3 linked regions of the Pelodiscus sinensis genome follow. The main gene of each other region encodes a partner of the protein of the gene in region 2 in a complex. Links are inferred from orthologs where the notes say so. Each region holds a gene or a part of one and is shown on either strand. Other genes may lie near its edges. The genes, in order: TGFBR1, GDF11 and FST.

What was found.
Region 1: the proteins of GDF11 (region 2) and TGFBR1 are in contact, whole or in part, in a crystal structure (PDB 6MAC), measured with the Homo sapiens proteins. The link is inferred for Pelodiscus sinensis from reciprocal best matches to the Homo sapiens genes GDF11 and TGFBR1. Residues at the interface, in NP_005802.1 of Homo sapiens: Phe322, Ala324, Phe325, Gly326, Trp327, Trp329, Ile330, Met382, Tyr384, Phe385, Asn386, Asp387, Ile392, Ile396, Pro397, Met399; in NP_004603.1 of Homo sapiens: Ile78, Pro79, Asp81, Arg82, Phe84, Ala87, Pro88, Ser89, Ser90, Lys91.
Region 3: the proteins of GDF11 (region 2) and FST are in contact, whole or in part, in a crystal structure (PDB 5JHW), measured with the Homo sapiens proteins. The link is inferred for Pelodiscus sinensis from reciprocal best matches to the Homo sapiens genes GDF11 and FST. Residues at the interface, in NP_005802.1 of Homo sapiens: Asn299, Leu300, Gly301, Leu302, Glu310, Arg312, Asp328, Trp329, Ile331, Ala332, Lys334, Arg335, Tyr336, Lys337, Tyr347, Met348, Phe349, Met350, Pro354, His357, Gln361, Ile380, Asn381, Leu383, Phe385, Asp387, Lys388, Gln389, Gln390, Ile391; in NP_037541.1 of Homo sapiens: Leu34, Arg35, Gln43, Val44, Leu45, Tyr46, Lys47, Thr48, Arg60, Ser62, Asp72, Asn73, Leu75, Phe76, Met79, Ile80, Leu134, Asp135, Arg149, Gln153, Pro154, Glu155, Val180, Val181, Asp182, Gln183, Tyr188, Val190, Thr191, Asn193.

The regions. Positions count from the first base shown.
Region 1 is NC_134712.1:146,264,469-146,274,969, forward strand, and holds the start of TGFBR1 (TGF-beta receptor type-1), read left to right. Parts: upstream 1-5,826; 5' UTR 5,827-5,914; coding exon 5,915-5,996; intron 5,997-8,247; exon of another isoform or gene 8,248-8,355; coding exon of another isoform or gene 8,356-8,365; intron 8,366-10,501. UniProt on the Homo sapiens protein: Transmembrane serine/threonine kinase forming with the TGF-beta type II serine/threonine kinase receptor, TGFBR2, the non-promiscuous receptor for the TGF-beta cytokines TGFB1, TGFB2 and TGFB3.
Region 2 is NC_134729.1:4,525,058-4,535,300, reverse strand, and holds the start of GDF11 (growth/differentiation factor 11), read left to right. Parts: upstream 1-5,972; 5' UTR 5,973-6,400; coding exon 6,401-6,794; intron 6,795-10,243. UniProt on the Homo sapiens protein: Secreted signal that acts globally to regulate anterior/posterior axial patterning during development. May play critical roles in patterning both mesodermal and neural tissues. It is required for proper vertebral patterning and orofacial development.
Region 3 is NC_134716.1:98,251,246-98,261,834, forward strand, and holds the start of FST (follistatin), read right to left. Parts: upstream 4,336-10,589; 5' UTR 3,944-4,335; coding exon 3,862-3,943; intron 2,146-3,861; coding exon 1,954-2,145; intron 1,550-1,953; coding exon 1,331-1,549; intron 977-1,330; coding exon 752-976; intron 1-751. UniProt on the Homo sapiens protein: Multifunctional regulatory protein whose primary function is to antagonize members of the transforming growth factor beta (TGF-beta) superfamily including activin, myostatin, GDF11 or bone morphogenetic proteins (BMPs).

The sequences.
Region 1 (10,501 bases), on a different chromosome or scaffold from region 2:
TAACAGAGAAAGGTGTAACGTAATCCAATGACTAGAAGTTGAAGCTAGAGAAAGTCAGACTGGAAATAAAACACAACAGTGAGGGAAAGTAGCCATTCAAACGATTTACCAAGTGTTGTAGTGCAATCTCCATAATTGGCGATTCTTAAATTCAGGCAGTCATTTTGAAATAATGTTAAAATTCTGTCAAGATGGAGGCCGTCTTACTCTGACTCCTGTAACCCTCATTGTACGAGGAGTAAGAGAAGTCGGAGGAAGAGTAATCTGCTTCGAAATAAGAGCTGTGTAGATGGTGCCAGTTTCAAAATAAGCTATGCAAGTGATGTAGCTCAGTTTGTACAGCTTATTTCGAGTTAAGCCCTGCTGTGCACTCTCACTGGCTCTACTGCTTAGGGATTCACTTGCCAGCACTCACAGTGGGTTCTGCTCTGTCCCTCTCCACCAGCTGCCCAATTGCTGTGCCTTTCTGCTAGCTGTCCTGCTGGCTGATTGCCCTGCCTCTCCACCAGCCATCCTACTGGCTACTTGCTTCACCTCTTTGCTCGCTGCACCCCCTGCCAGCCATCCTGCTGGCTACTTGCTATACCTCTCTGCCAGACACTTGCTCAGATGTCTTCATGCTTAACACAGTTCTCCATGATTTCAGCTGAGGTGGAGGAGCCTCACTGCCAGTACACTGAGTAGTCCCTTGTATTACACTGTCTCAAAGCAGGTCTAACACTTAGACCTAAGTATCAGTGATTTCAGTTCTGCAGCATGTAATAAGACACTCAACTGAGTCTAAATTAGCACTGTTATAACACAATTGGGAGACGGAGAATGTGATGGCATCTAGGGTTTTCACGCAGGACTCACACTCCTACGCATGCATAAGTGTGTGTGTCATGTGGTTGAGTTGAGGGTGAATCTGTCAGTCAGAAAATGCCAAGTACAGTTCTGCTGCTCTTGATTTACACAAGGATAACAACCCTGTATTATTCGTGCCCCAATAACAAGCAGACTGGGGATCCCACACCAACCAAAAGTGACCATATGGGCATGCAATCCCATCATACTGAGCACCTAAGCAGGGTGGGTGTACTGAATATCAAACAATATCAGCTCCTGAAGTCATCACTAGATGTGAAGGGAGAACTCATTCAGACTCTGTGTACATTATAAAGAAGAGGAGGATGGGACAGAGAGGTTGTTGCTCAGGAATGTAGGCAATCAGAGTGAAGTGGGGGAATGAGAAGCTATAACGGAATAGTAAGGGCTTTTTGGTTTTGTTTTGGGGTTTGTTTTTTTAAAGATTTTAAGCAGCAGGAAGCTTGAATGAACTTGATGAGGATTTGAGACTTTTTTGAGAATTATTTTATTTATTGTAATGAAGTCCAGACCAGAGGTAGAATTCCTGATAACGTATATTAACTGAATGAATCCCTGGTTGTTCAGAAGATATCGTATTTTAAAGTAAACACTAGTCTTCGACACCAGACAGAAATGTAGACTAAGAGATTTTCAACATCCAAACTATCCTGGCCAAGACAAATCCTGCTTTAATTTGATCTTGTTCTGACCTGTTGAGACTCGACTATATTGTACTTAAAGTAACTCAGTAATGAGCAATCCCTGCTAAGAAAACTAGGACTCAGCCCTTTGTCCCAGCCATACTGAAGAAATACCAGGTTGGAACAATTTCACTCTAGCTTCAAAATACTCTAGTCCATATAGTAAAGATGCAAGTTAGATGTCTTGTATGCATGTATTGCAGTGGCTGTCACTCATTCTGAAGATCCTTTACTAAGGCCAAGATTTTAAAAAAATGTTATGCCAAATTACTTATGGTAAAATTATATAACAGACATATACCATTTATAGAACAAAAAGACAATACCCAATGGAGAACTTTGCTCTCCATCACAATAACTGATACATCTGGGATCCATCAGGCACAATTCTAAGCAACTTGTAGATCTGAGACACCACCTCACAAATATTCTATCACTAACATGCCTCTGAAAGTTTAAATATCATCCATTTGCCTAGCTCCTTGTTAGTTTCAGCACTGTAGGACCTTTAATCTCTGTAGTAAATCACAGAAAATAGATTTGCTAGACACCTGGAACTGTAGTCCTAAGAGGTTTTCTAGACTAAAGTAGCATCTTGAATTGCACCCAGAATCAAATAGGGAACTAGTGTTGAAGTGCTGGAGCAATATGTTCTCATTGATAAATGGCATGTAGTAGCTGCACTCTGAACCAGCTGTAGAATCTTCAAGAAATCCACCAGGTAGAACACATTGCATCAATCCAATCTAAAAATAACAGCATGAATTACTGTTATGAAACTCAAACATAAAGGTTCTCTTTGCCGCTGACTCAGAATAAGCACAGCTGCATGTCTTGAGTGCAGACATTGCTAGGTAGCAGTGCTAGGACAGGTGTGATGAATTAGATATTTCTGCCAGTAAAAAGGAGGTTTCTCCTCTCTTCCTCCAAGTTATAATCCTAATTTACTGTCATTAGGAATTAGTACTGATAGTAGGTGAGTGTATCCTTCTTCCTTCCATTATTGATTCTCATATTGTTGTATGAAATGTTGTTGTTAAAACCATTTAAAAACCAGGTTGAACGAAGCTTTTAAAAACAAACAAAAACTCAATATAAAAAATCTCTGACTTTGATCAGGGTTGATTGCTGGTTTTGCTATACCTCTAAAAAGCTCAGATGCACCAATCAGATTTGAGGCCCCTGCAGTATTAGTCCCAAACCTCACTATGGCTTGTTAGAGATGTGGATCCAGGCTCTTGGATAATGGCCAAATCAATCCAGAACTTAAGAGTCAATGTAATAGGATCTATGAGAACTCCTCCTTCCTAAAAGCTATTCTGGTTGTTCTCTTTCAGTCAGAGATCTCCCTGTCTTCTGCACTTATTTGATTGAATTCAACTATCACAGGAAAGCTTCAAATGTAATAAGCTTGCCAAATGCAAGAAAGGTTGTTCTCTGGTTACTATTACTGGGGAACATACAAACTGCGCTGCTAAGAGGCCAGAACCCAAAAGGCGGTCTTATATTCCTATGGGATGTACACACTATGGTTTGCTCTTCAGAGATTCTAAAATCATAGTTAAAAGAGTGTGGGGGAAAACTACCTTGTCTTGAAAACTGTGCTTCCAGCATTGACCTGGCATTGAGCCAGGAAGTCTGGCAACCTGTTACTGAGATTGCTTTTGACTGGATGGTGATCCAGACGACTTATAAGCTATATCCAATAGGACAGAAAATGTTCCCCACTCACTCTAGAAAGGTTGCCCTTCACCTTGGTCAGAATTGCAGGATTACCACAGACACATAAACCCTTCAAATGGATAGCTGGAATTAGATCCCAAGCACTTCCAGGCTTTCTTAAGTTCAGCATATTGGTCTCTGTCTCCACTACCCCTCCACTTGCTAACTGGACTGTTTGAATACGTCTGTGACTTGACATCCACTTTGGATAGATAGTGTACCTGAACTGGAATAAAATGAAAATGTAATTCAGTACAGGCAGTAACAATGGTGGAAGCAAAATGCTTAGGCCCTAGCTATGCTAAAGCTTTTAACCTTTATATTGCCAAGAGAGTTATAACCAACACTGCTTGTAAAAGCTTACAATCTCTGCTTTCAATGGTATAAAGCATTAAACTTGCATACAATGTATATGCAGATATCAATCTCTACAGTAGTTTGATTATAGAAATTTATCGGCTCAAAGCTGAAACCCAAGACTGTAAGCTTGAGTGGCTTACTAGGTACAGAGCAAGGATCATTATAGGCTGTCAAATACAACAAGCTGGTTAGCTGCAGACTTAGCATCTTAGGGTATGTCTGCAGTGTGGTCTTCTACCTTTTTAAGCACAAGATCATTTTTTGAATGTAAGTGCAATCCAAGATCTACCTCAAACCCAAATACCCTTGCCCCACCTCCTTTGTGCTCCTTCTCCAAGGCTCCCACCCCTGCTCACTCTATACTCTCTCCCTCACCCTCCCTCACTTTCACCAGATGGGGGCAGAGGGTTGAGGTGCAGGCTCCGGTCTTGGATTAAGGGATCTGGAGTGTGAGATGGGCTCTGAGCTGAACCTGGGGCAGGCAGTTAGCGTGCCTGAGGGGGTTCTAGGTGCAGACTCTGGGATGGTGTTTGGATGTAGGGGTACTCAAGGCAACGGCAGGGGCTTGGGGTGCAAGAGGGGCTTCATGACTGGGGTAGGGTTTCAGGATGTGGGTACCAGCTGGGCACTGTTTTCCTCAGGTGGCTCCTGGGTGGTGGTGCAGTAGGGTTAAGGCAGGCTCACCCTGCATTGGCACTGCACCACTCCCAAAAGCAGCCCACAAACTCGCTCCATCCCATGTGCATTAAAATAAAATGTGGCAAAATCAAGCACCTAAATTAGTCTATAAAGTCAGAAGCTTGATTTCTCCTGTTAACTTTAACAGGAGAAATCAGCACACTGGATGGCTACGTCTAGACAGGCATGATTTTCCGCAAATGTTTTTAACGGAAAAGTTTTTCCATGAATAGCATTTGCAGAAAAGAGCGTCTAGATTGGCACGGACACTTTTCCACAAAAAGTGCTTTTGCGGAAAAGCATCCGTGCCAATCTAGATGTTCTGTTCCGAAAATGCTTTTAACGGAAAACTTTTCCGTTAAAAGCATTTCTGGAAAATCATGCCAATCTAGACGCAGCCTCACAGAAACATAGCTATAGGGCCTGTACGTGGTAATACTCAAGTGGCTAGACACTATAGCATTTTCAAGGCAAATTTAAGAATGCCTGAGAATTGGCCACTGTTTTTGGTTCAATGGTGCAAGTGCATTTGGTGTGTCCTAATTGTAACCTTACCTGGTGACTTCCATACTTGAAGATTTAGAAACTATTGGGTGAGTGAACAAGAAGCAATGGGCCTAAATTGCAGCAAGGGAGGTTTAGGTTGGACATTAACTATTCTAACAGTAAGTTTTTCCTAATCTTTGGAATAAATTGCCTAGAGAGGCTGTGGAATCTCCATCACTGGAGATCTTTAAGAGCAAGTTAAACACCTGTGGGCTAGATGGTGGCTGGTGTTGCAATGAGTGCAAGGTACACGAGGACCTTTCTAGGTCCATTCCAGTGCTATGATTAGGCATGGCTACAAGGACTTATTCAGGAATTTCCTTGCTTTCTGTCAATCTGATTTGCTGCATGAGAGGAAAAACTCTCAGAGTACTGTCTTGTATAGAGAAGGTGTGAGCACTGGGTGTGCACAAATCCTCCCTCCTCCAGCACTGTTGAGCGTTTTACTACCAAGGGCACCTTCCAACCCTGCTTCCTCGGGCGCTGCCGGCTCTATCTCGGACACCTAGTTACTTAGCTCCTGCGGCTCCGCTACCAAGTAGCAGGCCCGGCTCTGGCACCCTTGCAGCACGCTGCAGGCAGAGAGCGCCCCCCGCCTCACTCAGCCCGCATGAGCGGGATGGAGAGAGAAGGTGGAGGCGTCTCTGTAGCGTCCAAACTCTGCTGGAGCGCGAGGCGCCCCAACCCCCGCGCGTGCCCTGCCCCCCAGGCCCACAACGGAGAGAGCTGCTGGCCAGACGCTGCCTTTTGTCCACGCGCCAGTCCAGGGGAAGGGAGACGCAGTGCGCTCAGCCACCTCCCCCGTGTCACTCTCCCCGCCTCGCGCTCACCCTCCCCACCGCCACGCCCACTTGGCCTGGCGCCGAGCCGGTTGTATTTCTCCAGACTCTTGTTGTTGTTCAGAATGTCTGCAGCCGCCTGGGAGGCGGGGCTACGGGCCGGAGCGGCCAATCAGGAGGCGCCTGCGTGTCAGTTACATTATAAAGTGGCCGCAAGGGCGAGTGTGAATCGGAGAAGCGGCGGCGCGAGGCTGAGCCCGGGCGCGAGCGGGCAGCGCCATGGAGCTAACGGCCCCTCCGCGGCCAGGCTGGGTCTTTCTCTCGCTGGCGGCCGCGGCGCTGCTGCTCCCGGGGGCGGCGGGTGAGTAGCGGCCCCGGGGGCGGGGAGGCGGCTCCGCGGGTCCCCGCCGGCTCCTTTCAACAACATGGCGCAGGGGCCGGCCGGGCGGAGCCCGCGTCCCTTTGTTGGCCGAGTCCGGCGGCTCCGGGTGCGCGCGGAGCAAAGGCGCCGAGGCTGAGGAACAGCGGCCGGGCGGCGGCTGCCGGACCCCCCCCCCCCCCCCCTCCTCGCGCCCGGAACAGGGGGTGGAGCGGGGAGCGCAGCGGGTCCGGGAGCGAGGTGAAAAAGGCACCGAGCGCGCCCGCCCCCTTCCGGCTGTGGCACCCGCTGTCTGCGCCCCTGGTCCCGGGGCAGCACCACGAGCTCTGCGCCGCGCGTGGCCCTCGCCTCCGATCGTGTCCCAGCGCCGCCGCGCACGGCCGGCTGCCCCCAGCCGCTGGGGTCTGGTCGGACCCGGTTTTCTTCTTCTGCAGCCGGTTGGGCTGTGAGCGCGCTGGAAGTCGCCTGGCGCTAGCCGCTCTCGCGTTCCTCGTTCCCGCTAGTGATCTGGGGCTTGCGTGGCTGGACAGACCCTTTAACCCTGATACACAGAGACTTGCGCCAGTCCGGATAAAATGTCGTTCCTTAAAACTTCCGCTTGCAGTCCCAGGTGCCCGGTATTCGTAACCGAAATGGGGGAAATCCCAATATGTGCTGCAGGCTTATGGTCACAATGTAACTGTTCCAGTGTTCTTTACAAATGTAAGGGTGGTGGTGGTGGAGGGGAGAGAACTACATGTTGAATGTTCCAATTAGGTAAAGCGCAAAAAAACCCAAAACAAATCTCCCCCCCACCCCCCCAAAAAAACCACTTTTTTTTCTTGAGTCTCCTGAAGTAAGAAGCCACTCGCTCTAGTTGAGTTGGGCGCCAACTTGCAATATGCTGGTATTATGTACTCTGTGATTAAAAACTGGCCTGGATGATTGCTTAGATTAAATGCTGTTTAGGTTGTAAATCTGCATTGTATTTAAGCACCTTATTGTTATACCCACTAGTATACAAAATACACATTTATAAATAAGGGCAGCATATTAGAATGTTGAGTTAGTTCTTTCTACCCCAGCAAAATCCTGCAGTTAATCTGATGTCAAAACATATAGGTTGAAGTGTGTTGCGGGAGTTGTTTGTGACTTTGGGCAACTAAGAACAGTAACACAACTGTACCTTCAGTTCTCCAAATAACGCAGGATATGTTTGGTGGTAGGACTTAGTAATATGTCCTAATACATTAATAAAGGAGATGAGCTTTTGTGAGTAAAAACCCACTTCATCAGACGAGTTGGAATTCTGTAAATTCCACTTAAATGGGATTTTTACCCACAAAAGCTCATAACCTAATAAATTTGTTGATCTCTATGGTGCCAGAGGACTGCTCATCCTTTATTAATGTTAAACCAAACATCTATAAACCTGCTTAGTTACATAATCTTTGGGTATGCACATCTGTAATGCATCAAATTATCATAAACACAGAGGAATATTATTGTGTATGTTATTGCTTACTCTTTTGCCCAAAAGATAAAGCAAAATAAATACAGAATGTATGCAATATTAGAAGTAACTTTTGTTTCAATTTAAGAAATAAGTGTAACTTGGGAAACTGCAATACTTTTCTCTTGCAGTCAGTGTTAGATGATATGTGACTTTGAGACCTGGTATAGATAAAGGTTTTTTTTTTTTTTTGGAGGGGGATGGGTTAAGATGAGGCAGAATACATACATTCATATTTAATACATCTCTGATCTCTCATTAGAGAATCTTGGTAATCCGATAAATATTTGCTTAGTGAGGAGGGGAGAGACATCCTTTGCATGGGGAAGCAGAATAAGATTGTCTGAAATTTTCAAATTATTTTAAATCTTTTCAAGACACCTTGCTATTTCCTTAAAGGAAATCAGAAACTTTTAACAGAACTAAAGGTGTCTCTTTAAAGTTTAACTTTCTTCTACTTCACAAAAACGCAGAGGAAAACAACAGTTTTACACGTGAGCTACCTCGTTAAAATAATGCAATATGAGGTATTGTTTTCTCTGGTACAAACGCTGTCTTGGGAATAGTTAAGTGTGAACTGTGAAGTTGGATGACCCATTTCTTGGCATCTATACTACAGAAACAATGTTTCTTTCTCTTAAGTTGGAACCCTCTGAGTGTCTTAATTTTAAATTTTATCAAATTATAGTAATAGCTCATAAACAAATTCAGTACTGTCTCAATTCTGTATTGCTTCTTTAGGGAAAATGCATTTTCAGTGGAAGTTTGCCAGAGAAAGGAGTATAAAATGTCCCATTCTGAAAGTTGTCCTATATATGATATACCTAGGATTGTCAATTTAGTCATTTTATGACATTGAGTAAGTAATTTTTTGTAACTTATAAATACCTTTATTGCAGAATGGAGTGTGGTGCATCTTGGAGCTGTGCAAAAATCTAGTCGGGCACTGCTTTGTGTCTGAGCCCTCCTGTGGTATCCAACTTCCTTTTGTGCCTTTTTCCAACTGCCATTCTTTGCTGTACACCAGTGTTCCTGGTAAGCTGAGTGCTTGTGTGGCCACTCAGGAGAGAGATGAATACCATCAAGTTGATTAGTGGAGTGCCCGTAGCTAGGTGTTTTTCTACTGGTGGTGCATATTTGCATATGCTTCAGCGCACATAAACATTTATTCTGCACATAGATGCAGAAGCTTAGAGGGAACACTGGTGCACTCCAGCATCTGCAGAGAGACAGATTGGATCCCTCATTTTTCTCTTAAGTTCTATCAAGTTTGTGATGACATCATGCATGGCAATGCAGTTAATCGTGAAGTTACTGGCCGAGGAAGATTCATAGTCATCTGCCATTCTTTGTGATATGAACAGCAGCAACTGAGCACTGCTTCTAGAAATTGTGGAGCAATTGCATAGGGTAGACTTGCTTTTGGGCTAGAGAAACCAGCACTTATTGGTGGGTTCACGTTGTCATGCATGTGTGAGATGAAGAGCTATAGAATTTTAGGATGCATAAAATAACCTTCCCAGAGCTGTATGCTGAGCTGGTCTCTTAATTGTGGCACAATCTCACCAGAGTGAGTTGCCTTCTCAGTAAAGAAACGTGGCAGTTGCTTTCTGGAAGCTGGTGATTCCAGACTGCTACCAGTCAGTTGCAAATCAATTTGGAGTGGGGAAGTCTGCCGTTGTGCTGTTACTGCGAGTGTACAGGGCAATAAATCACATTCTACTACGGATGACCATGATTCTGGGAAATGTGCATGAAATAATGGCTGGCTTTGCAAAGGAGTGCTTCTGGAATTGTGGCAGAGTGATAGATGGCACATGCTTCAACGTTAATGTCCAATTTTGCAAAAGACTACATCAGTAGGATTGGGAACTTCATGGTGTTGCAGGTGTTTGTGGATCACCCAGGCTTTTCATAGACCAAGTGGGGTGGTCTGAAAAGAGGCATGATGTGTGCATTTTCAGGAACTCGGTCCTCGCTTGCAGCTTCCTGAACAGGACACTTTTCCCGGACAAGATTATAGTGGGTGTGTGGAAATGCCTGGGAGACCTGACTTATCCCTCTCCTCCCTGACACAGGGCACCTGGACAATAGTAATGAGTGTTTTTAACAGGCTGAGCATGTGCCATGTGGTAGTCAAACATGCCTTTGGCAGTTAGATGCCTCCACCATGACTTCAGTGACAGGCTAGACCTTCTTGGGGAATAATATTCCCATGGTCCTAGCCATGTGTTACACTTTGAATAACCTGTGTCAATCTAAGGGTGAAATGTCTGCTCAGGAGTGAAGTGTCTGCTAAGGCAGAGCACTTAGCTGCAGAGTTTGAGCAGTCAGAGATTAGAATATCAGAGGGCTACTGTTACATCCCTACCTCAAAGCCTCCTTGATGTTAAGCAACTAGTCAACTTCCTGATAAGCCCTAGGCTACATTTAAACTGCAGAGCTGCAGTGGGGTCCCTTAATGACTAATCATGTAGTGGATATAAATTGTATCTACTGCAAGATTAGTCAATTACCTGCTTAACATCCTTATTTTGGGGAAGCATTTTGACAATGAGGGGCACTAACATATATGTTTTGAAATTGCTTTCCTCATACATCCATGCAAAAATTTCGGCCTACCTGTCCTTGCAAGAAAATGCTTTAAAAGTCTGTACCTTGGACCAGTGATTGCTGTGTGAATTTGTGGAATGCAAAATAAACACTGTACTGTTACAAAACTTTGCCTTTATTGATCAAGAAAATACAGTGAAACACTCCGTTGCTGGTAAGGAGAGGCTTGGAAAAGGTAAAGCGTCACAACTGTGTGTAGGTCTAGCTATCACTGTCAGTGTTGAGAGAATGGGAAACTGAGGAGTCCCACAAAGTCAAAAGGTTGCTTGACAAGAAATTGTGCATGTGCAGCAGTGGAGGAAGACCCTCTCACTCTAAAACATTATTGATGACTTGAGCATCTGTCTGCTCCTCCATTACTTTTATTGTCTGAATTGTCTCC
Region 2 (10,243 bases):
CACCGCCGGATGCAGCCCACAGGACTCAGCGTGCAAATAAATCTCTTTTAAAACAAAAATCTTCCCCCCACCCCAAGCAAAAACCAGCCAATCCCTCAAGAATCCGGTGGGACCTTTGCTAACGGCTAATGAAACTGACCTGCCACGTACAGAGCTTACACTAACCCATTCACAGCCCGACTGGTCCCTCTTCCCATGTCCCCATGCTGCTTCTCACTGCAACTGCCCTGCCAAAGTGCTCTCCAGAGCTGGTCATAGAGAAAATTCCCAGTCCTCCACCCCTGAACTTCCCACGAGTTCACGCACACACAGCACTGGGAAGAGAACCCAGGAATCCAGAGCCCCCAGCTCCTGATGGACCCTCACCCACTGTACGCACACACACTGACACACAAGTTAACTGACTTTCTCCTTGCGCCTGAGGCTGGGGAGGAGCTGACAGAGTCACACGCCTGGCTGTGCCGCGCTGCAGGGAAGCCAGTGGCCCCAGCTGCACATCTCTGCTTTCCCACTGTCTCTCCGGCTGCCAGGCTCCCCGCCGATAATCACGACATCTCTTTTAGAGCCCCAGGAATCGCTTTGCTATGGCAGCCCACCTCTAGCTGCTACTGCCCATGGCCGGGGTGGCTTCAAACAGGAAAAACCTCCAGGCCGAAAGCAAAGCCTCTGGGCTGCTGGAGAAAAGGACCAGAATGTGTGAAAATCTGGCCCAGCAGTCGACGTGGTTGGCTAAGGAATGGCTCCAGCAGCTCCAGAATTGGCTGGGGCCACCTGGAATATTTCAGGGCACCCACAAGTCCAGATTTCACATGGAACCTGCTGGAGGGTTTAGCTAATTCCCCCGGGGAGCCATGCTCATAGCTCGACCTCCAGCCTTGGCCACTTGCAGATGTGGCTTTGTTTAGCCTCACCACCCCTCTACGGGGGAGGAAGTGGCTTTAGTTCCATCCTGTTGGTGGGAAACTGAGCCACATTGAGGTGCAGGGACTTGGCCAAGGTCACTCAGCCTAGGCCCAAAGCCTCAGGATAGAGCCAGGCCTACTTGCCCCATGCTGGCTCCTTGAGGAGCCAAAAAGACACTCACTGTGAGGCCTGCACTGGGCCATTGGGACTGTCTGTCACCCTTCTGGGCAGCGCAGGCCAGAGATCTGCCCCCAGCATGCACCCCCCCTTGCCCTGGCGCCAGCTGAGCTGGAGAACCCGCCCCGGTGCTGGCTCTGGGAGAACGGCGCCTTATTTCCAGTCTGGCTTCAGCCCTGGGAGCTCACATGGCCTCAGGGGCACGCGGAGACGTGAGCCAGCTGCCTCTGGACAAACGCACGGGGCCGTGCTCAGCCGCTTCCAAAGGGCCTGTTCCTGCTTTTACGACATCTGGCTCTCAGTCCCCCGCCATGCTGCGTATCCCAGCCCTTCCCTTCCACGGCTGCCCTCTGTCCTGCTCACGGCATCCACAGCTGCGGCCTGCCCCAGGTCCAGCCACCGCACACGGCTCTGGGTGTCCATCCGGCGGGGCCTTGCTGAAGCCAAGTCTGCTGATGTAGGCCCCAGGCGATTGCTCTCCAGGGTAATGCATGGCCCACGCCTGGCTCCGAAAGACCCATGGGGAGGAGGAGCTGGCCTGAGCCCCTGTGGACATTTAGGAGCCACCTTCCCCAGCTGGGGAGTCTTTTAGCTCAGGACACACCCTGGACCCTTTGCCCAGCGCTCGGTTCCTGGCCTTACGTCTCAGGCGATTTGGGATGTAAAAGGCTAGTGCCTGGGCTGGGAATGGTTCATGTGCAGCCCTCATTCCTCACCCCAGGCGCCTGCCTCAGTCTCTGCAGGTTCCTGCCCCAGGCACGTCTGCAGGACAGCTCTGGGTGGAGGTGGGAGGCTGGGGGGCAAGGGTTAGACAAGATCCCGGATGACAGAGCTGGACAGGAGCCTTTGGGGTCCAATAGTCTGTCCTTGGCTGGTGCTGGTCTGGGCACCTGTATCCAGGCTAGCTGGGAACGTCTCAGGAGATGGAATACAGCTCAGCACTAACCTAATTGTCTGTCTAAGCCCATGCACCCCCTCTATCTATGTATCCAGCCCCATAAGCTGTGTCTGTCCGTCCGTCCACGTCTCTTGCTTGTTCTCCCCTCATCTCCCTCTGTCTGTCTAGCTCCCTCTGCTTGACGCACGGGATAACCCAGTGCAGGCAAAGGGCCCCCGTCCCCAGGCCACCTTGCATCTGTGGCAGTGGAGTCCGAACAGCCAGATGCTCACGTCTGCCTTGTGGGGCCTTTGGCCCACGAAGCAGCCAGGCCTAGGAGGAGGGAGCAGACAGACCCACACCCGCAGGCACAGTCAGTCCATTAGGTTGGGCAGGACCTTTCCTGCCACTGAACATCTTTGCGGCTCCAGGCCCCCAGGACCTGGCTGCATTGGCCTGCGGAATGAATGATGCTGGTGCCCGCTGGCTCGTGGCGCTGGAGCTCATAGGCGGCTGGATTGAAGCTATTGTAAGACCTTAGGTTCAGATAGTTCCCCTCCCTAAGGCCTTAGCAGGGACAGGCCAAGGCTCCCTCAGCCAGGCCCAGTCCTCTGGGAGACCAGGCTGAGTGAGGCCTTGGCGCCAGATTCATCGCCCACCAAGGGATATTTTACTCAGCGATGCCCGGTTCCCAGGGGACGTGGCAGGTTCTGCTCTTGCTGGCTTCAGCGCCAGGCTGGAGGCCTTGTAGCCAGCCCCTGGGCTCGGGGCAGAGGGGCATGGCCTGTGTGTTGCACAACAAAATGAATGGGGCCTTCTGGTACGATCTGGGGCTGTGATTTGGATGGACGTCTCCGCGTGACTCCCATGCACCACGCTGCAGGGCACTGAGCCTGGGTACTCCCAGGGCAAGAGGCTGAGTCACTCCAGGGATTCACGGCTCCAGAGAGCGGAGCTATCGGAAGGCCCTTTCCACACCTCAGGCACGTGGCTCCAGGCAGGTAGGTCTGTGCCATGCTGATTCTCTCTCCATGGTTCTGATGGGGGCAGGGGATGCGAGGTGGGGGGTCTGGCTGGTGTTCCCAGCCCCTTTGAGGTTTCCAGCTGGGCCATATATGGGATACTAATAATCCAAGACAGGTGTCCGTTTGCCCCGGGCCTTTGGAGCCATGGCTCAGGGTGGGACCCTTCCTAGCCTACGTTCGAGGCGATGCTGAAAGGTGGCCCTGGGTTTGCTTTCTCCTGGACCAGATGTGCTGAAACATCCAGCAAGATCGCGCCAGCAGGTAGCTTTGCCCCTGGCTCTCCCAGGCGGGGACCAGCTGTGCAGCAGGGCTGGGCGGGCTTGTTACAACAGTGGATAAACGTCGGGGACCAAACGGTGGGTTACCTACCTCACCACCCCCAGGTGGGTTAGTACCAATAATAATGGCAAATAAAGACACCCCCTCCCCTTCCCCGCCACCAGCCAGGGCCTCTCTGCCCTGGTGCAGCTAAGACAAGAGGGAAAGGCCCTGAAAGTAGAAGTGCTCAGTGGTCACCCCCAGGGAAAGGAGCAATGTGCTTCCACTGCCCCAGCGGAGTGGATCCCAGGACCTGCCAGTCCTGCTGGGCGCCAGGGAGAGGAGCTTTGGGGATGGTGTGAATGTTTGATTGGTAACCCAGCAGTTTCTGCTTCAGACCGTGTCCATCCCCAGGGCCCTCAGACTGCTCCGCTGGGGCCCCCTGGCCGCCACAGCTTGTCCGACAGCCTGTCCCCAAACCAAAGGAAGCTGACAGGGACTCCTCTTTTTCTCTAGTCTGTCCTCCATCCCGAGATACTCCCCTCTGGCTGGCTGTCCCCAGACACTACCCATCCATCTCTCTGACCGTACACCCCCTCTAGCCATCCCCCCACTCACACCCCGGCCATCCCCCCACCTCTCTAACCATCCCCCCCACCTCTCTATCCATCCCGCACACCCCTCTAGCCATCCCCACACACACACCCCGGCCATCCCCCCACCTCTCTAGCCATCCCGCACACCCCTCTAGCCATCCCCCCACACACACCCCGGCCATCCCCCCCACCTCTCTAGCCATCCAGCACACCCCTCTAACCATCCCACCCCACACACACCCCGGCCATCCCCCCACCTCTCTATCCATCCCGCACACCCCTCTAGCCATCCCCACACACACACCCCGGCCATCCCCCCCACCTCTCTATCCATCCCGCACACCCCTCTAGCCATCCCCCCACACACACCCCGGCCATCCCCCCCACCTCTCTATCCATCCCGCACACCCCTCTAACCATCCCCCCACACACACCCCGGCCATCCCCCCCACCTCTCTAGCCATCCAGCACACCCCTCTAACCATCCCCCCCCACACACACCCCGGCCATCCCCCCCACCTCTCTAGCCATCCAGCACACCCCTCTAACCATCCCCCCCCACACACACCCCGGCCATCCCCCCACCTCTCTATCCATCCCGCACACCCCTCTAGCCATCCCCACACACACACCCCGGCCATCCCCCCCACCTCTCTATCCATCCCGCACACCCCTCTAGCCATCCCCACACACACACCCCGGCCATCCCCCCACCTCTCTAGCCATCCCGCACACCCCTCTAGCCATCCCCCCACACACACCCCGGCCATCCCCCCCACCTCTCTAGCCATCCAGCACACCCCTCTAACCATCCCCCCCCCCACACACCCCGGCCATCCCCCCACCTCTCTAGCCATCCAGCACACCCCTCTAACCATCCCCCCCCACACACACCCCGGCCATCCCCCCCACCTCTCTATCCATCCCGCACACCCCTCTAGCCATCCCCCCACACACACCCCGGCCATCCCCCCCACCTCTCTATCCATCCCGCACACCCCTCTAGCCATCCCCACACACACACCCCGGCCATCCCCCCACCTCTCTAGCCATCCCGCACACCCCTCTAGCCATCCCCCCACACACACCCCGGCCATCCCCCCCACCTCTCTAGCCATCCAGCACACCCCTCTAACCATCCCCCCCCACACACACACGGCCATCCCCCCACCTCTCTATCCATCCCGCACACACACCCCGGCCATCCCCACACATCTCTCACCCCATTCACACACACACACCCCGGTCATCCCCCCACACCTCTCTATCCATCCCGCACACCCCTCTAGCCATCCCCACACACACACCCCGGCCATCCTCCCACACCTCTCTATCCATCCCGCACACCCCTCTAGCCATCCCCACACACACACCCCGGCCATCCTCCCACACCTCTCTATCCATCCCGCACACCCCTCTAGCCATCCCCACACACACAGCCCGGCCATCCCCACACATCTCTCACCCCATTCACACACACACACCCCGGCCATCCTCCCACACCTCTCTATCCATCCCCCCTACCCCTCTAGCCATCCCGCACACTCCTCTAGCCATCCCCACACACACACCCCGGCCATCCCCACACACACACCCCGGCCATCCCCACACACACACCCCGGCCATCCCCACACACACCTTCTCCTTCTACCCGTCTCTATCTCTCTCCCCTCCGCCCCTCCCCGAGAAGAGCCGGGCTGGGAGACCTGGGGATTTCCCCGGGAGGAGTCAGTCGCTGGCTGCACTTTGCGCCCCTCCGCGGCGCATCGCATCGCCCCGGGCCTGTCACCCGTGACAGCGTCTCCAGCGCCCACCGCACAGCGCCGCCCGCGTCTCACCGGCCGGCCCTGCCCGTGGCAGCGGGGAAGCGGGGGGCGATTCCTGGGCTCGCCGGGTCCGGGAGCGGGCGGGGCGGGGCGGGGGTCCCTTCCCCGCGCGCTGGCCGCTCGTGCTCCGGGCCCCGGGGCTAAGGCAGGGAATGCCCGTGCCCGGGCCGGGCGGCAGCTCCCACATGCCGAGCGCAGCGGGGGGGCCGCAGCAGCCCTCGGGGGGAGGCTGAAGCCGGCCGGGGAGAAGGGGGCTCGGCGGCCGCGCCGGGCGCTGTGAAACCCGGAGCGCAACCCGCCCCCCGCCCCCACCCCCCCGCGGGCGGCCGAAGTTGCCGGGTGCGGCGGGCCGGCCCGGCAGCCCAGTGGGGGCGGGGGCGCCTGTTTCTTTAAGGGGCTGCCCGGCCGCCCCCTCCCCTGGCGAGCCGCTGCCTGGCGAGCTCGGGCCGTCTCGGCTCGGCTCGCTCCTGGTTCTCCTCCGGTGACAGCCCTTTCGCCAGAGGCTCTTTTGTTGCGCCCGCAGCCAATCAAGGCTTTTTACGACACAGTGGAGTTGGGATATAAAACCCCGAGTCCTCCGAGCCTCCCCCCCCCGGCCAGCACCACTAGTTTCGCCACCCGCCGGCTCCGCGCACCGGCCGCCAACTTCTGCCCCGGCCCCCCCGCCTCGCAGCCAGCCGCGGCCCGACTCCGAGTCCCGAGGCGGGGGGAGGCAGGAGGGGAGCCGGCCGCCCAGCCATGCCGGGGCGCAGGTCCTCGCTCTTCCTCTGGGCCCTGGCGCTGGCCGTGGCACTGGCCCCGGGGGAGGTGGTGGAGAAAGGGGCCGGCGGCGGGCAGCCCCCCCCGGGGCCCGAGGCGGAGGAGCCGGGCTGCCCGGTGTGCCTGTGGCGGCGGCACAGCAAGGAGATGCGGCTGGAGAGCATCAAGTCGCAGATCCTGAGCAAGCTGCGGCTCAAGGAGGCGCCCAACATCACCCGCGAGGTGGTGAACCAGCTGCTGCCCAAGGCGCCGCCGCTGCAGCAGCTGCTGGACCTGCACGACTTCCAGGGGGACGCCTTCCCGCAGGACGAGTACCTGGAGGAGGACGAGTACCACGCCACCACCGAGACTGTCATCAGCATGGCCCAGCAGAGTAGGTGGCTCCTTTGTTAGCGCCGGGGGGCCGAGGCGAACTTCGGGGGCCCCCCGAGCCGGCTGCGCGCCGCGAGCGGGGGGAGCTGCGGGCTCCTGCCTGCGCCCCTGGACGCGCGGTGCGGATCGGGGGTGGGGCTGGGGGTGCAGCTCCCGGGGGGGGGGGGCTCTTGGCTGCAGCCCCCCACCCCCCCAGGCCGGAGGAACCTGGCGCCTGCAAAGCCGAGGGTCCCGCCCCCGCGGGCAGGGACCCAAGGCCGCTCCGGGCGCCCCGCGGGGCTGCGGGCCGCCCGGCATTGTCTGCGGCCGGGCTCGCTTTGTGCCCGGCAAAGCGGCTGCCGCCGGGGCGAGCTGCGAAAGTTTGATCCGGTTCCGCCAGCGGCCCAGGCCCCGGGAGCGCTGCGGCCCCCCCCCCCCCCGCTATTCGCCAGGGACTCGCTCTGCCCAGCCTGGGGGGCGTTGAGCCTGCGGGGGGGGGGGGGGCTGGCAGCTTGGCTGGGGGCTCCGGGCACAGCCCCGCTTGGCTCCTGGGAAGTAGATGGGGGGGGGGGGTGCTCCAGTTGGCCGAGGGAGAAAGTTTGTTTGAAAGCATCGCCCAGCGAGAGCTGGTGCCTGGCAGGGGCTGGGGTCTCGGCTCCTCCGGATCCCAGGCACCCGCTCTCCCTCCTGGGTGGCTGGGGGCAGCTGCAGCCAGGCTCTGAAGGTGGCACCTTGGGTCTCGCCTCTCTGGCTGCACAGGGGAGACCCTCAGACCCCGAACAAGGCCGTTCTGGGTATCCCAGCCCTGTGCTGGCTGGTCCATGCGGGTGGGGCAGGGAGATGCACAGGTGGGGGTATGTGGGGAGATAGGACAGGTGGCACTGAGGGTATGTGGCGTGCATGTGGGGAGATGGGGCAGGTGGCCGTGTGGCTGATTGGATGGGGTGCCTGGCGGAGGGAGCTGCCCCACAGCGAGTAACCTGAACAGACCGTGAACCACACTTGAGAGGTGCTATGCCCAGCCTACAGCCTCGCCTCAGTCCGGGCTGGCAGGCCCTGGGCTCACAAGGTGCTGCCCATGCAGGAGCAAGGCTGCGCTGTAGCAATGAGGGCCTGGCGGCTGGCAGGACACGCAGCCAGGTGCCAGTCTTGGTTCGGGAGGGGCTGCAAGCCAGGACGTGTAGGAAGCAATCCTTGTAGTGTGAGCTTGTGTAAGTTATGTCACCGCCCTGTGCCTCAGTTTCCCCATCTGTGAGGCGGGAGCAAGGGGCCTCAGCAGAGCTGGGGAGCCCAGGGCTGGGTGAGGAGCGGGATGCAGGTCAGGAGGGTAGGGCACCGGCAAAGCTGGGCCAGAAGGGGGTTGCTGTGGGTCAGGAGTGAGGGGCCCTAGCAGAGCTGGCCTGGGGGAGCCAAGCGGGGTGACTGGGGAGTCTATCCGCTGTGGAACAGCAAGCGCAGCTGGGGTGAAAGGAGCCCGCCCGAGCGCTGGAGCCTGAAGGCCTCTGCCGTGGGAGCAGCGGGAGGTTGGACAGCAGCTGGGTGATGCCCGAGTCCTGGGGCTCGGCTCCTTGGCCTCCCCCCTCAGCCAGGCTGGTGCGCTGTGCAGAGCTGGCTGGGGCCTAGCAAAGGCGAGGTGCCTGGAGGTCACTGGAGAGCAGCCACTGTGAGATCTCTCTGCTCCTGGCACCAGCTGGGCCCTTTGCTGCCCCCGGCCAGAGCCAGGCAGCGAACAGCCCACAGGCTTGAGCTCCCCTGGCCTGCAGCTGCCCTAGGGGCAGGGGAGAGGCTGCTGCTGGCTGGGCTGGACTCATCCTAGGGATGCCCAGGGGTCCCAGCCTGTCATTGTCACCCAGTAACAGAGACCCACAGCCTGAACTCGGGGGCGGGCCTGTCTCCAAGGCAAGGCAGTCAATGCAACCTCCTTCCCTGACAGCGCTGCCACCACCAAGCTGCGGCCAAACACCGACCCCCCGGCCAGCCTGGGACAGGGCAGCAAGCAGAGGAGAGAGAACAGGGGTGGGCAAGATGGTAGGCAGGGAGGTGCAGGGAGGGGGTCGGGGGGCAGGTGGGTGCAGGGAGCTCTCAGACACAGCACGGGTGCGAGGGGTTGCACTGTAGTGACACAGATGCCTGGCCATGACTCTCCGAAAACAGCCTGTCTTGGGGGACCAAGGGGGTGGAGGGTTAAGGTGCCCTGAGGGGTGGGAGTGCAGGGAGGCAGGCTCTGTGGGCTGCAGGGTTAGTGACTGTGGGATTTCAGCCCTCGAAACGTCCGCGTCTCTGTCCCCTCCTTGTCCAAAGGCCCGAGTGGCCAATGCGTCGCTGGTCTCCAGGTCTCGGCTCTCCAGGGAATTTCACAGAGCACCAAGTGCCCGCCCCCGTGGCTTTGCCCACAGCGATCCAACTTGCTAGCTTGGTACACGGTGGCTGCTCATCCCTCAGTTGGCCACGACCCCTCTTCTCCATGCTGGGACTGCTCCTGAGCCCAGTGAGTACAGGGGTGGGAGTCACCCACAGTGCAGTCTGCGGGCGGGGGGCGGGGTGTCTGGATAACAGCATGGCAGGCAGGTGGGTGCAGGGAGGAAGCATCTCTTCTGATTGAGACTCACCACCAAGCTCCCGGCCACCCATGGTCTCCAGTCTTCCCCTGGGAGGCGGCCTCTGGGATTCAGGGTGCCAAGGCGAAATACCAGCTCAGGAAATCACTCTCCCTCCAGCTGAACGTAGGCTGGAGTGTGGGGCGCCTCTCTCCGACCCGACTGGGATAGGCCATTCCGTGTCCTCCGCACCGTGTCTTCCCTCCGGGAGGAATCCAATCTAAGCTAGTCCTTGGGATTGTGCTGCAGGGTAGCCAGATGACATGGCCAAGCCACTGTCCCCCTCTCTAGCTACTGAGACCAGATGCAGCTCTGCTAGGCCGGATGCACTCTCCCCAGGTCATCCCCAAGATTCTTCTTAAACACAGCTGGCGGGGTGCATGCAGCATCCTGTTGGTAACTGGACCCCCACCCACCTTTCCGAGGTGTACAGTGCCGCAGGCGTGATCTTGCCGTAGCGTGTAGATGGATCTTCTTACTCTTCCAGATGTTCGACAAAGGGGAGAATGAGCCGCAGGCTTTGCCAGTTCTTGTCTTCCCTGTGGTGAGCTGCTGTTAGCAGATACTGTGCTTCCAAGGCAAAGTAATCGACTCTTCTGTACGCTGCTCCAGCCACCACACCCCCGCCTGCGCTGGCCGCGTTCTCTGTCTCCGCGCTCGTGGGCTTTCACGTACTGACACCAAGTCCCACTGGTGGGACTGCTCAATGCGTTTCCGTTCTGTCCGAGTTGGTATGACCCTGGACTGTGTCATCAGGAAAAGCAGAGTCCAATAGCTCATCCCTGGCCCACAGGATCTGAGCAGTCTGTGGCAGTGCAGAAGGGGAGCTGCCTTGCCTCACAGCAGTAACAATATGAAACCATTCTGGGTCCCC
Region 3 (10,589 bases), on a different chromosome or scaffold from region 2:
TTAATGGGAAGTCTACAATTGGACAATTAATTAAACATTTCTACATTGATTATTTGTCAAGCTTAAACATATAAAATAGTCGTTTGTGTCATTAAAATAAATAGATGTGAGATCTTTAACTTGCAAAGATAATTTTTCAGACATGTAGTTACCTGAAATGCATATAATAAAAACACACACGTATTGTGATGATATTATTAAGAATTAGACCTTGTATAAAATACCAGGGTGGTTTGAGATTATGTTCTTATCTTAATCCACAACACCTCTCCTTAATCACTACATCTGACTGACATTAAATAACGTTTGCCAAGACCACTTGAAGACAAATGTTTCCAAGAATCCAGATCATCTGAATGTTGAGACTGTGTTACTCTGTTCATAGAATCATAGGATTGGTCATCTCATCCTGTCCTTTCATTCATGGCAAGACTATTTTTTATCTATTATGATATGTTGTCAAGTCATAATACATTTGAGGGCCTTACTACAGCTCCTATTAAAAATAGTATGGAAACTCACATTGATATCAAGGATTGAACCCTTTGTTCCCTGTTGGTGCCCAAAATCTTGTGTGGGTCACTCAAGCAAACTTCCCCCATTTGTTTGTGTAAAAACTGCAGGAGTCCACAACACATTCACTTCTAGGAAATAACCTGCATGCAGATACCTGCCTACTAAACTGTGAAACAACAAATTATGAAGAACGATTCCCTCTTCCCCTATAAGCACTCCAAAGGCTGATACCTACTGATACATTTTCCCTCGTAGGCTAATCCAATAGATCTGCCTAGTAGGCAGGTTGCCTTTCTCAGGTGGCAAGCACTAGCATACGTTATTCCATCATTCCCACAGAGATACTGTTCCGGGGAAGTAGGCTCCGGGCAAATCCGATTACAGGTCACACAGTAGGCATTATTAGTTTGATCAACCACACACGTGGAACTGCCTGGACATAAAACATCCCGACAAGTCTCTGAAATAAAGACGGAAACATATTAACAGGCGATCCAATGGTTCATACTGGGAGTGAATATGTGAAACAATCGAGGAAATGATAAAATCAAAGTCTTCGGCAGCTTCTTTCATAAAAAAAAGAGCCACGGGATAAAACCTTCATATCTCAGGGAAGCTGGTGTGAACACAGCGCGGCATGACTCTGGGGGACTCTCAATCAGCTATGGTTTGTCGGTTGAGCGTGGTTTACTTTTTGTCCCTCAGCATTTGAAACATCTTGTTATTGTGGGGAAGTACGTCAGCTCCTCCTCCCTACACTCAGACACACACCCTGTATTATTCGGGGAGGACTTGGTTAGATTTGCAAACCTACTTTTGCATTTGCCCTGATATTGGACTTCAAGTTCGGGTTGCTCTTTACATCTGGCTTTGAGGAGAGCACACTCGTTCCTGTAGGTTTTCCCATCTAAGCCACACACAGGACCTTTCCAAGTGACATTAGAGCAGTCCGGAGCACAAACACACCGAGGTTTGTTCTTCTTGTTCATTTTACATTTCTTTCCAGGTCCGCAGTCCACGTTCTCACACGTTTCTAAAAGGGGGAAGGGGAGGAGGCGAAAGAGGCAACATTTTAATACCTACTCTGCTCATCAGACTTCAGATAAACAGTGTTTACAAAATACCCCGACAATCCCACGATACAAAGGGAGCGAACAAGGTTTGTTTTTTTTTCAGCCAGAAAACAAAATGTGGGGTCCTGAGAGATCCACCAAATAGAAGGATCATTCTGGATCATATTTGACCACGCAGAGGCTACATCCCTTCCCCTTCTCACTAACTCCAGGTCCCAAGGAGCATTTACTTCCTGGGATGAACTTTAAAATCGTAATTGGAGCACGACACAGGGAAACACTGCTACCTCTGCTGACTCTGTCCCGGCCACCCCCACCACCCCAGTGCCTGCACCTGCGGTTTCGGAGCACTTTGCAAACACACCTTTGCATGGGATACAGTTTGGGGCGCCCCCGTTAAAAATCATCCACTTAAAAAGCGTGTTGTCGTTGACGTCTTCTTCAGTCCATGAAGTGGTGAGCCTGCCCGTTTTGCAGCACTCCTCCTTGCTCAGATCAGTCTTATAGAGGACTTGGCAGCGGCCGTTCTTTGCCTGCCGGAGCCAACAATTCCCAGCTGCAAGAGCGAGAAGGAGAACGAGACCCAGCCATATCAATGTCAGTTACCAGTGACCCAGACACAACACGTGCGGCTTGCATTGACTTTTACTAGACTGTTTACTTTTATTTGTCCCATTTCATAACCTGCAGCTACTCTGGGGCAATAGGCAGCGCAGTTTAAATAACCCGATCGAAACAGGACAAGGCAGTGTTCGGAGGTATTTATTCCATATGTAGACCATGGGGACTTGCATGCACGTGACAGAGGTATGAAAAGGATCTGTATTTAAAAAAGAATAAAAATAAAACACCCTTGCAGACACCTCCCCCCTTCTTCCTCTTCAAAAATGCTGTACAACACTGTTCTAGTGCTGCCCGGAGTCTCATTCGAGGCCGTTTTAACAATCTGCAAAAATTGGTAATATTTGCCTGTTGGCGAAGTCTTTCGAAATCTCGAAATGTTGCTGCTTCCCTTAGGAAATGTCTCTTCTTTGCTGAAGAAAATTAACTGAGATCCAAAGAAGGGCGATCAAAGTAAACAAGATGCCGGGGCACAGAAATAGGAGGCCACTAGATAAAAAGTTATAGATGTCGTCTGTTTCAGACGCAGTTTCATAGAGAGTAACACTGCACTTACATCGGATAGAGATTTGTTTTACTAGTATCTCTGCTATTTATGGATTCAAGCCAAGAACATTAGTCCAAGCAACTCCCCCTTTTTTAGTTGGAGGGTTTTGGTTGGGATGAGCCTCTCGTGAATAACCAATGTGACTTCTCCAGCAACTCAAAAGCAATTGATTCTGGTACTTATCCAGCAGGGGCTAGATCCTGTCTCTTTACTCCATTGGGAATTTTCCCGGAGAGGAATGTAGGATCGGTCCCTCAGACCGATATACATGGGGAGACTGTAGAGGGAAGCGTCCCCAAAGGTAATTAGTGAATAAACAACACCCTTTTGAAAATCAGTTTTCCTGGCTCAAAAGACTGTTAGAAGTCAGCTTTGAATTCCTTTTAGTTGCCTTCACAAAGTTAACCTATACATCCAGCTCAGCGAAAAAAAAACCCCAAACCCAACAACCTTCAGTAAAAAACAACAATCTAAGTTATGCAGGTTGTTAACGGAGCGGCATCAAGAACCTTCCTCCCCCAATAATTATTTGGGAAAGACAACTATTACATTTTCTGTTTGTTTTGCTCGGCTGGGACATGTATTTAAACACATTCGCTAGTGCAGCAGAATTCATAGCTCAACACAATTCACTCACAAACGTGGATGTGAACGGGCGGCCGGGAGGCTGTCACACGAATATTGAAAGGATAGCGGGAAAATGACTAATATTAGCGTCTGAAAATGTCATTTGTGATCGCGGAATTCACCATCCTTGCAGCCAAAGCAGCCGAGAGGAAAATCTAAGCTCCATTGCCACAAAAACTTTAAGACTGCTGGAGTAAGAAAGTTCCTGTGTGTGGCTGCTGTTCATTCATGCTTTACAATAATAATAAATAACAATCATCATCACCATCCCTCCTCAGTACTATGCCCAGCCGTTTGTGGAGCCGATCAAATATGTCACCTCCATACATTTGTACAAAGCGGTCCTACTCTCACAGTTAAGTTGAGGTTCTATTCCTTAAGCTGGTCCCTTGTAGAGAGGCGTTCGCAGGAGACAACTAAACATTGAGAAAAAGACAGAAAATAAAACACAACTGCAAACAAATAATCTCATCTTACCCTGTACGGTATGATCTTCCATGAAGTGGCACACAAGCATCAGGAATAAAAGCACGCCCGGGTGGATTCTCTGATTTAACATCCTCAGTATGCCCGTGAGTGAAAGAGGCAGAAACAATATCAAGTGGAGCAGAGAAAGAGAGAGACAGAGAGCACTAGTCAGTCTGCTTATGATCGCTCTATTGAATGAACGTCAGCCTCTCAATGCAGTCTCTCTTTAAATCTATAAGGGGGTCTTAGCTGTCTGCGGTGGGCGGTCTCCTAATGTGTGTGTGTTCGGGGGTGGGGAGATTTAAAAAGTTCGCTGTGAATCAGGTGACATTTTCCACCTTCTGGAAACCCTTTCCAATTATCTGTTTTAGGTGCATTCTCTCTCTCTCTCTCTCACACACATACACATCAAATCTGCAAGAGGGAAACGCTGGAGTTCTTTGCGTAGTAACAGGAAGGAGTGCAAAAACAGAATGGTAACTAGAGCTTAGAGAGAGAGAGAGAGAGAAAAGAACTATCCACTTGTGTCATTAATACCAGAAGGCGCGCACGCGCGCACGCAGAGGAACTAGGGGCTTTAACACAATTCATAGGACTAAAGCAAGAGCCATGTCACTTCTGTGGGGAAGGAGAGGCGTGATCCTTTCCTTTAGCCCCCACATCGTGGCCAAAAGGAACTTGAAAACAAACACAATCTGATCAGCGCGCGGAAATGTTTTTGCTTCTTGTTAGAAGTTTTGGGGCGCAGCAAAAGTTGATGACGTCTCTTGGAAGACACGATTTTTGTTGCTGTTGGGGTGTGTGTGTGTGATTCCCATTCCCTGTCTGTGACTAATAATAAATTTACCCCAACACCTCAAACAGTAGTTAAGTGTTTGGCGCGCACACTCCTCCCTCCCTGTGACTGGTCAAAACCAAACAAAAGTTTAATACCTATGGTTTTGCGCAAGTGACAATCTTTTCACTGGGAGCGCCTGCAGTATAGACCGGAATTAGGGGGGCGACGTAGGCGGTCTCCTTTCAGAATCAAAAAGGTTGCAACATCGATAATGAACTTCTAGAGCACTACTTTATTAAGCACAGTCTGGCATTATTCTCCCCTTAGAAAGTTGGCGGTCTCTCATTTATAACATTTTTTGGCATCGCTGAATGAAACTGAGTAGGCGATATTTCCTTTTATACAAAATGATTACTTAACGGAAAATGGTATTGTTTATTCAAAAGCTGGCTTTTTAATTTCGATTCTTTCGCTGCTGCTCAGAGCCACCAAAGCACAACAGACAGCAAAATATGCAGACAAAATTCTTGGACATTGCCAGGTCAATGGGATTTATGTGAAAGTTCTACCGATTCCTCCCCACCCCATCCTAGTCTCCGTAACTCCCCCCCTCTTTATTCTGCAAGCTTTTCTCCTTACTCCCCCATCACAACTGCAAATAACTCAGTGATAACAGATTTTTTTCCACCAACTGCAGGAGATAGTGCTAATCTTTTAATAAAAGATCCCATTACAATGGGATCTGTCTGGACAGACTATAATAGATCCAGAAATACAGCCGTGCTAATATTAGAAGACAGTTGTTTGGGTGCCTCAGACCGGGCCCTGGTCCTGCTTTCAAAGTGAGCATGAATCACAATGTCCCGTTGCACCACCTGCAGTCACACGCATTAAGAAGCAGACTGGTAAATAACTGACCTCGCTACAATTTGTGTTACTATTATTGTGATCATCCCTGAGCAGCTTTGGGGCATTCTGATAACTTCAGAAGCTTTTTTGGGACTACACATCCCTTTTAAAGCGTTCCTCAAATAGGTGCCCCCTCTTTCTCTTTCTCTCTCTCTCTCTCTCAACCAGCATTAATGCAGGGTTGTTTAGTGCCCTCTAATGGCAGATGACATTAACAATTAACAACAAATATCCCTTACTCATGAGCTCCTGGATAAAGGCTGCTTTTAAAAGGGGGTTGGCTTTGATACTTATGGTGTAACATGCTTTGCAAAGCATAGTTTCTCTCAGTGCTCCTCAACAAGGCCCAAGGAACAAAAATAGGTGGATAACTTCAGACATGCTCTCTTCCCCAGGCCCATCAGTTTTGTTAAACAGCAGTGTAAAATCCAGGTACAACATTAACCTTATATCACCTCTGCTTAGTTAGGAAATGTTACAAAACTTTCAGGAAATGTGGTGAGTCATAGGCCTGGAACGTTTTGTGGGGTGTATATCCACTCCCCATTCCTACCATTCATAAAGACACAAGGATTCTCTCTCAGGTATATGTCCGTAGGGATGAGGTGAGTACTACAAACCTTTCACTAGTGTCCCTCAGATCCATAACATGAATTTGGGGGTGCGAGTCTCAGCATAGGATGCTGGAAGTAGGGATGCAGGAGGTGCTGCAGGATCTCCTGTCTTCAAGTGGTTTCAATTATATACAGGATTTACAGTTTGGTTCAATGGTTCTAAGCACCTCCACTAAAACAATTGTTCCAGCACCTTTGGATCTGAGTTTCTTCCCAGTGGACCCAGTAGTCCACATTATAAAATCACCCCCACTCACATAAGTAAGCATTTTGTCCTCCCCCGCAGGCAGACCCAAGAGTGAACTGCCTCTCACCAAAGTGAGGGTGGCCCCTTCAGGTCAGGGTTGGGGTCATTGGCAGGGCAGTGTGGGAAACAACAAATTGCTGCTGCTTCTGCTGCCCTTGTGAATAGGGATCTCAGTATTTGTTTTGTGATACAGACACATGTTGGTTTTATTTCAGCTTCACCTTGGATTTTTATTGATCTGTCAGATAAAATGTTTATACTGATTCTAGACAGTGTTTGTTTATTATATTGGGGCATTATCTGGCCATATTCCTGGAAATGAGTCGCATGATAGGTCAACAATGGTTGCATATGTGCTTCATATGTGCATCATCAGGAGATCAATATGATTGCACTGGCATGGAAACTTGCATCCCACCTGTTTTCTGACATCACATAGAAACAGCTGCTGTTTCTTTAATTGTATTGTCTTTTTTAAATGTTAAATATTGGGTCTGTATACAGATAAAGGTCAGAGATGCATTGTTTAATCAAAAAACTTTTTTCATGTATCTGTTTGCCTCTATTTACCATTTCTCCCCACTTCTTTGTTTTGCCAACAAGTAAATATAAATTACAGAACTGGCAACATATACCACTCTATAACTGAATTGTCAGGCAGGACATAAAAGACTGTTGTTCTGACACTGTCAGTTTTAAAAACTATCTTTTTGCAAGATGTTTATCAATTTTAATATGTGATTTTGGATTTAGGTCTAAATTTTGCAGCTGGCCCCAGTCTCCAAATACAAATAAAAATATAATTAAGTTAAAATGCTAGATACAAAGATATAAAGCTTCAGCAAAGTTCAGATTCAGATTTAGATTCACATACACTCTTGCAGCTTGGGTATATCTCTGATGTATACAATAGATGTGTGGCTATAACAAAATCTGTCTATCTATATATCACAAATATTATGTAAATATTGACTGGCCTGGCTCTGAAGCAGTAGCAGTAAAATACTGCTTGAGGAACAAAATAGTTCTTCAGATTTACTTTGTGTGAAATGTACTATTAAACAAACTATTTTTTTGTCATTTATTGTTGTGGACACTAAGTATTCATTTTATTAATGTCTTGGAGTTTTCTCATGCTTTCTGCCAAGGGCCAGTTTCCTAATAAAGAAGCAGACTTTATCTCCTAGGGTACGTCTACACTAGCCCCCTAGTTTGAACTAGGGTGGCTAATGTAGGCATCCGAACTTGCAAATGAAGCCCTGGCAGTCAGTTAGAACTAAGGGGATTTAAAAATGGCGCTCACCCGGGAACATGCAAATGAAGCCCAGGATATTTAAATCCCGGGCTTCATTTGCAAGTTCGAATGCCTACATTACCCACCGTAGTTCGAACTAGGGGGCTAGTGTAGACATAACCCTATGGTGTGTCTAGACTACATGTTTGTTTGTTTTTTTTAAAGTGGCCTTTTTTTGAAAAACTTCCCCTGCGTCTGGACTGCTGCTGCATTCTTTTGAAAGTAAATCAAAGGAACGTGGCAGTTTTTTTGACCGTGGAAAACCTCGTTTTATGAGGAATAACTCCTTTTTTCGAAAGTGATCTTTTGAAAAAAGGCTTTATGTAATGTAAACTGTGCTTTTTCGAAAGAGAGCATCCAGATTGCTTGGGTGCTCTCTTTCAAAAAAGCGGCTTGCTTTTTTGAAAGTACTGGTTGTAGTCTAGACGCTCTTTTTCGAAAATATCTTTTGAAAAAAGCTTTTTTGAAAGAGGCTTGCAGTCTAGATGTAGCCCTAATGGGAAGAGGTCACCTCTCGACCCTTTCTTCTAGCAGAAGCAAATATTTTGGGTGACAGATCTTTTTTGGGATGTTGGTGGTAGTCTGGGGCCTCAATCAGTAAAAGTAAAAGTTTTGGGGAGGAGTTTGGTTTGTGAGTGGACACGTGTGGGAGCATTTCCTGCCACATCTTTATCCAGAATTCAAGGGAGGGATGGAAAAGGATTCAAGTTCACTCTGTTTTGCAGATGGACATTTCTAGGCTAGTTGATTTTGGTCTGCCACAAAATCAGATGGTATCTGTGCTGAGATGATTGACTTCTCCTCCTCTCAGGAAACAAAGTCAGTCAGTTTTCAACCCCTAGCTGTTTTTTCTGAAAATTACTTTTGAAAATTGACCTTTTAGTTAATAGGTTCTTTTCTCTGAAAAATATATATGTAAATAATTTTCTAAGCATCATTATACTATACACTAGACAGCAATTTATTTTTCTCAGTGTAGAGAGATTCACCTCTGGACAGTTTACACTTGCTATAGAATTTCACAAACTGCTTCTCAGAAAAATATACATAAAGAGATATATTGAAAGGGTGCATTTTTAGAATGTCTTGTATGGTCAGGCCATTTTCATGTTAAAATAGACAATGCTTAGCTTCACATTGTCTTAACAAAGTTCTAATATTACTTTCTGCAAGTACTGGATGTACTTTAAGATAGAATTCATTTGTTTCTTTAATGAGTGAGAATTTGTGTACAGAATTTATACTTGTATGCTACTGATATGAAATTTAATTATATTTCTAACTAGACGAGGACAAGGATATTGACAATTTATTTTTTCCTAAAGCTGAGAGAAAAAAGTTTATGGATGTAAGATATTAAACACTAAGGCTACGTCTACACTGGCATGATTTTCCAAAAATGCGTTTAACGGAAAACTTTTCCGTTAAAAGCATTTTCGGAAAAGCACGTCTAGATTGGCAGGATGCTTTTCCGCAAAAGCACTTTTTCACGATCGGGGCTTTTTTGTGGAAAACAGTACTGTGCTGTCCACACTGGCCCTTTTGCGCAAAAGTTTTTCGGAAAAAGACTTTTGCCTAAATGGGAGCAGCATAGTATTTCCGGAAAAGCACTGACGATCTTACATGAGATCGTCAGTGCTTTTCTGGAAATTCAAGCGGCCAGTGTAGACAGCTAGAAATTTTTTCCGCAAAAGCATATGATTTTGCGGAAAAACTTGCCAGTCTAGACACAGCTTAAGGGTATATCTACCCAGCACAGCTATTTCAGGACACCAGGGCTACGTCTAGACTGGCATGATTTTCTGGAAATGCTTTTAATGGAAAAGTTTCCCATTAAAAGCATTTTCGGAAAAGAGCGTATAGACTGGCATGGACGCTTTTCCGCAAAAAAAGCCCCGATCGCCATTTTCACGATCGGGGCTTTTTTGCGCAAAACAAATCTCAGCTGTCTACACTGGCCCTTTTGCGCAAAAGGGACTTTTGCCCAAACAGGAGCAGCATAGTATTTCCACAAAAAGCACTGATTTCTTACAGTAGGAAGTCAGTGCTTTTGCAGAAATTCAAGCAGCCAGTGTAGACAGTTGGCAAGTTTTTCCAGAAAAGTGGCTGATTTTCCCAAAAAACTGGTCAGTCTAGACACAGCCCAGAGGTATCCCAAAATAGCTACTCCATGTCCACACAAGCTGCCCATTATTTCAAAATATTTTTCAAAATAATGGGTGCAGTTTTGCCATCCCGGTAAACCTTGTTGCATGAGGGTTAAAGGATGGCTCAAAATAGCGTGATATTTTGAAATTTGGCACTGTGTGGATGTGTAAAGTTTCAAAATAAGCTATTTTGAAATAGCCGGCCTGGGAGGTAGAATGGGAGGCCAAACAGCTGGCTGGAGGGCAGTGAACTTGGTGGCCTTGCAATGCTAGGTGGAGATTGTGGTTCCTCTGGGGGGTCGTGAGGCTGCTGGCCAGTGGGGTTCCCTTTTCCCCTGCTCTGGTGCTGCAGCCAAGTTGCCGGGGGGGGGGGGGGGGGGGGGAGGGCACTTACCTGGTCTCGTGCTGGCCACTCTCTTGGTGGTGTGGTTGCCCCCGAGGTCACTCTGCAATATAGCTGTTCCCTGTACTCGCTGTCCTCAGTAGTCACTGTGCAGTCTCTTGCATCAGCCCCTTCCCTTTCTGTGTTATGGAAAACAATTCCATCCAGGAGGATCCCATTCTGGCCAACCAAATCCTGGCCTTACTTTAAGTTAGAAGAAGAGGAAGCTGCATACTAAATTTGATTTAGGAGGAGTTATTGAACAAACAGACTCACAGACAGATGGACAGACAGATGCACATTTTAAAAATATATAGGTAGGTTTGATTATATTAACAAATATTTACACAAGATATAGTAATGAGT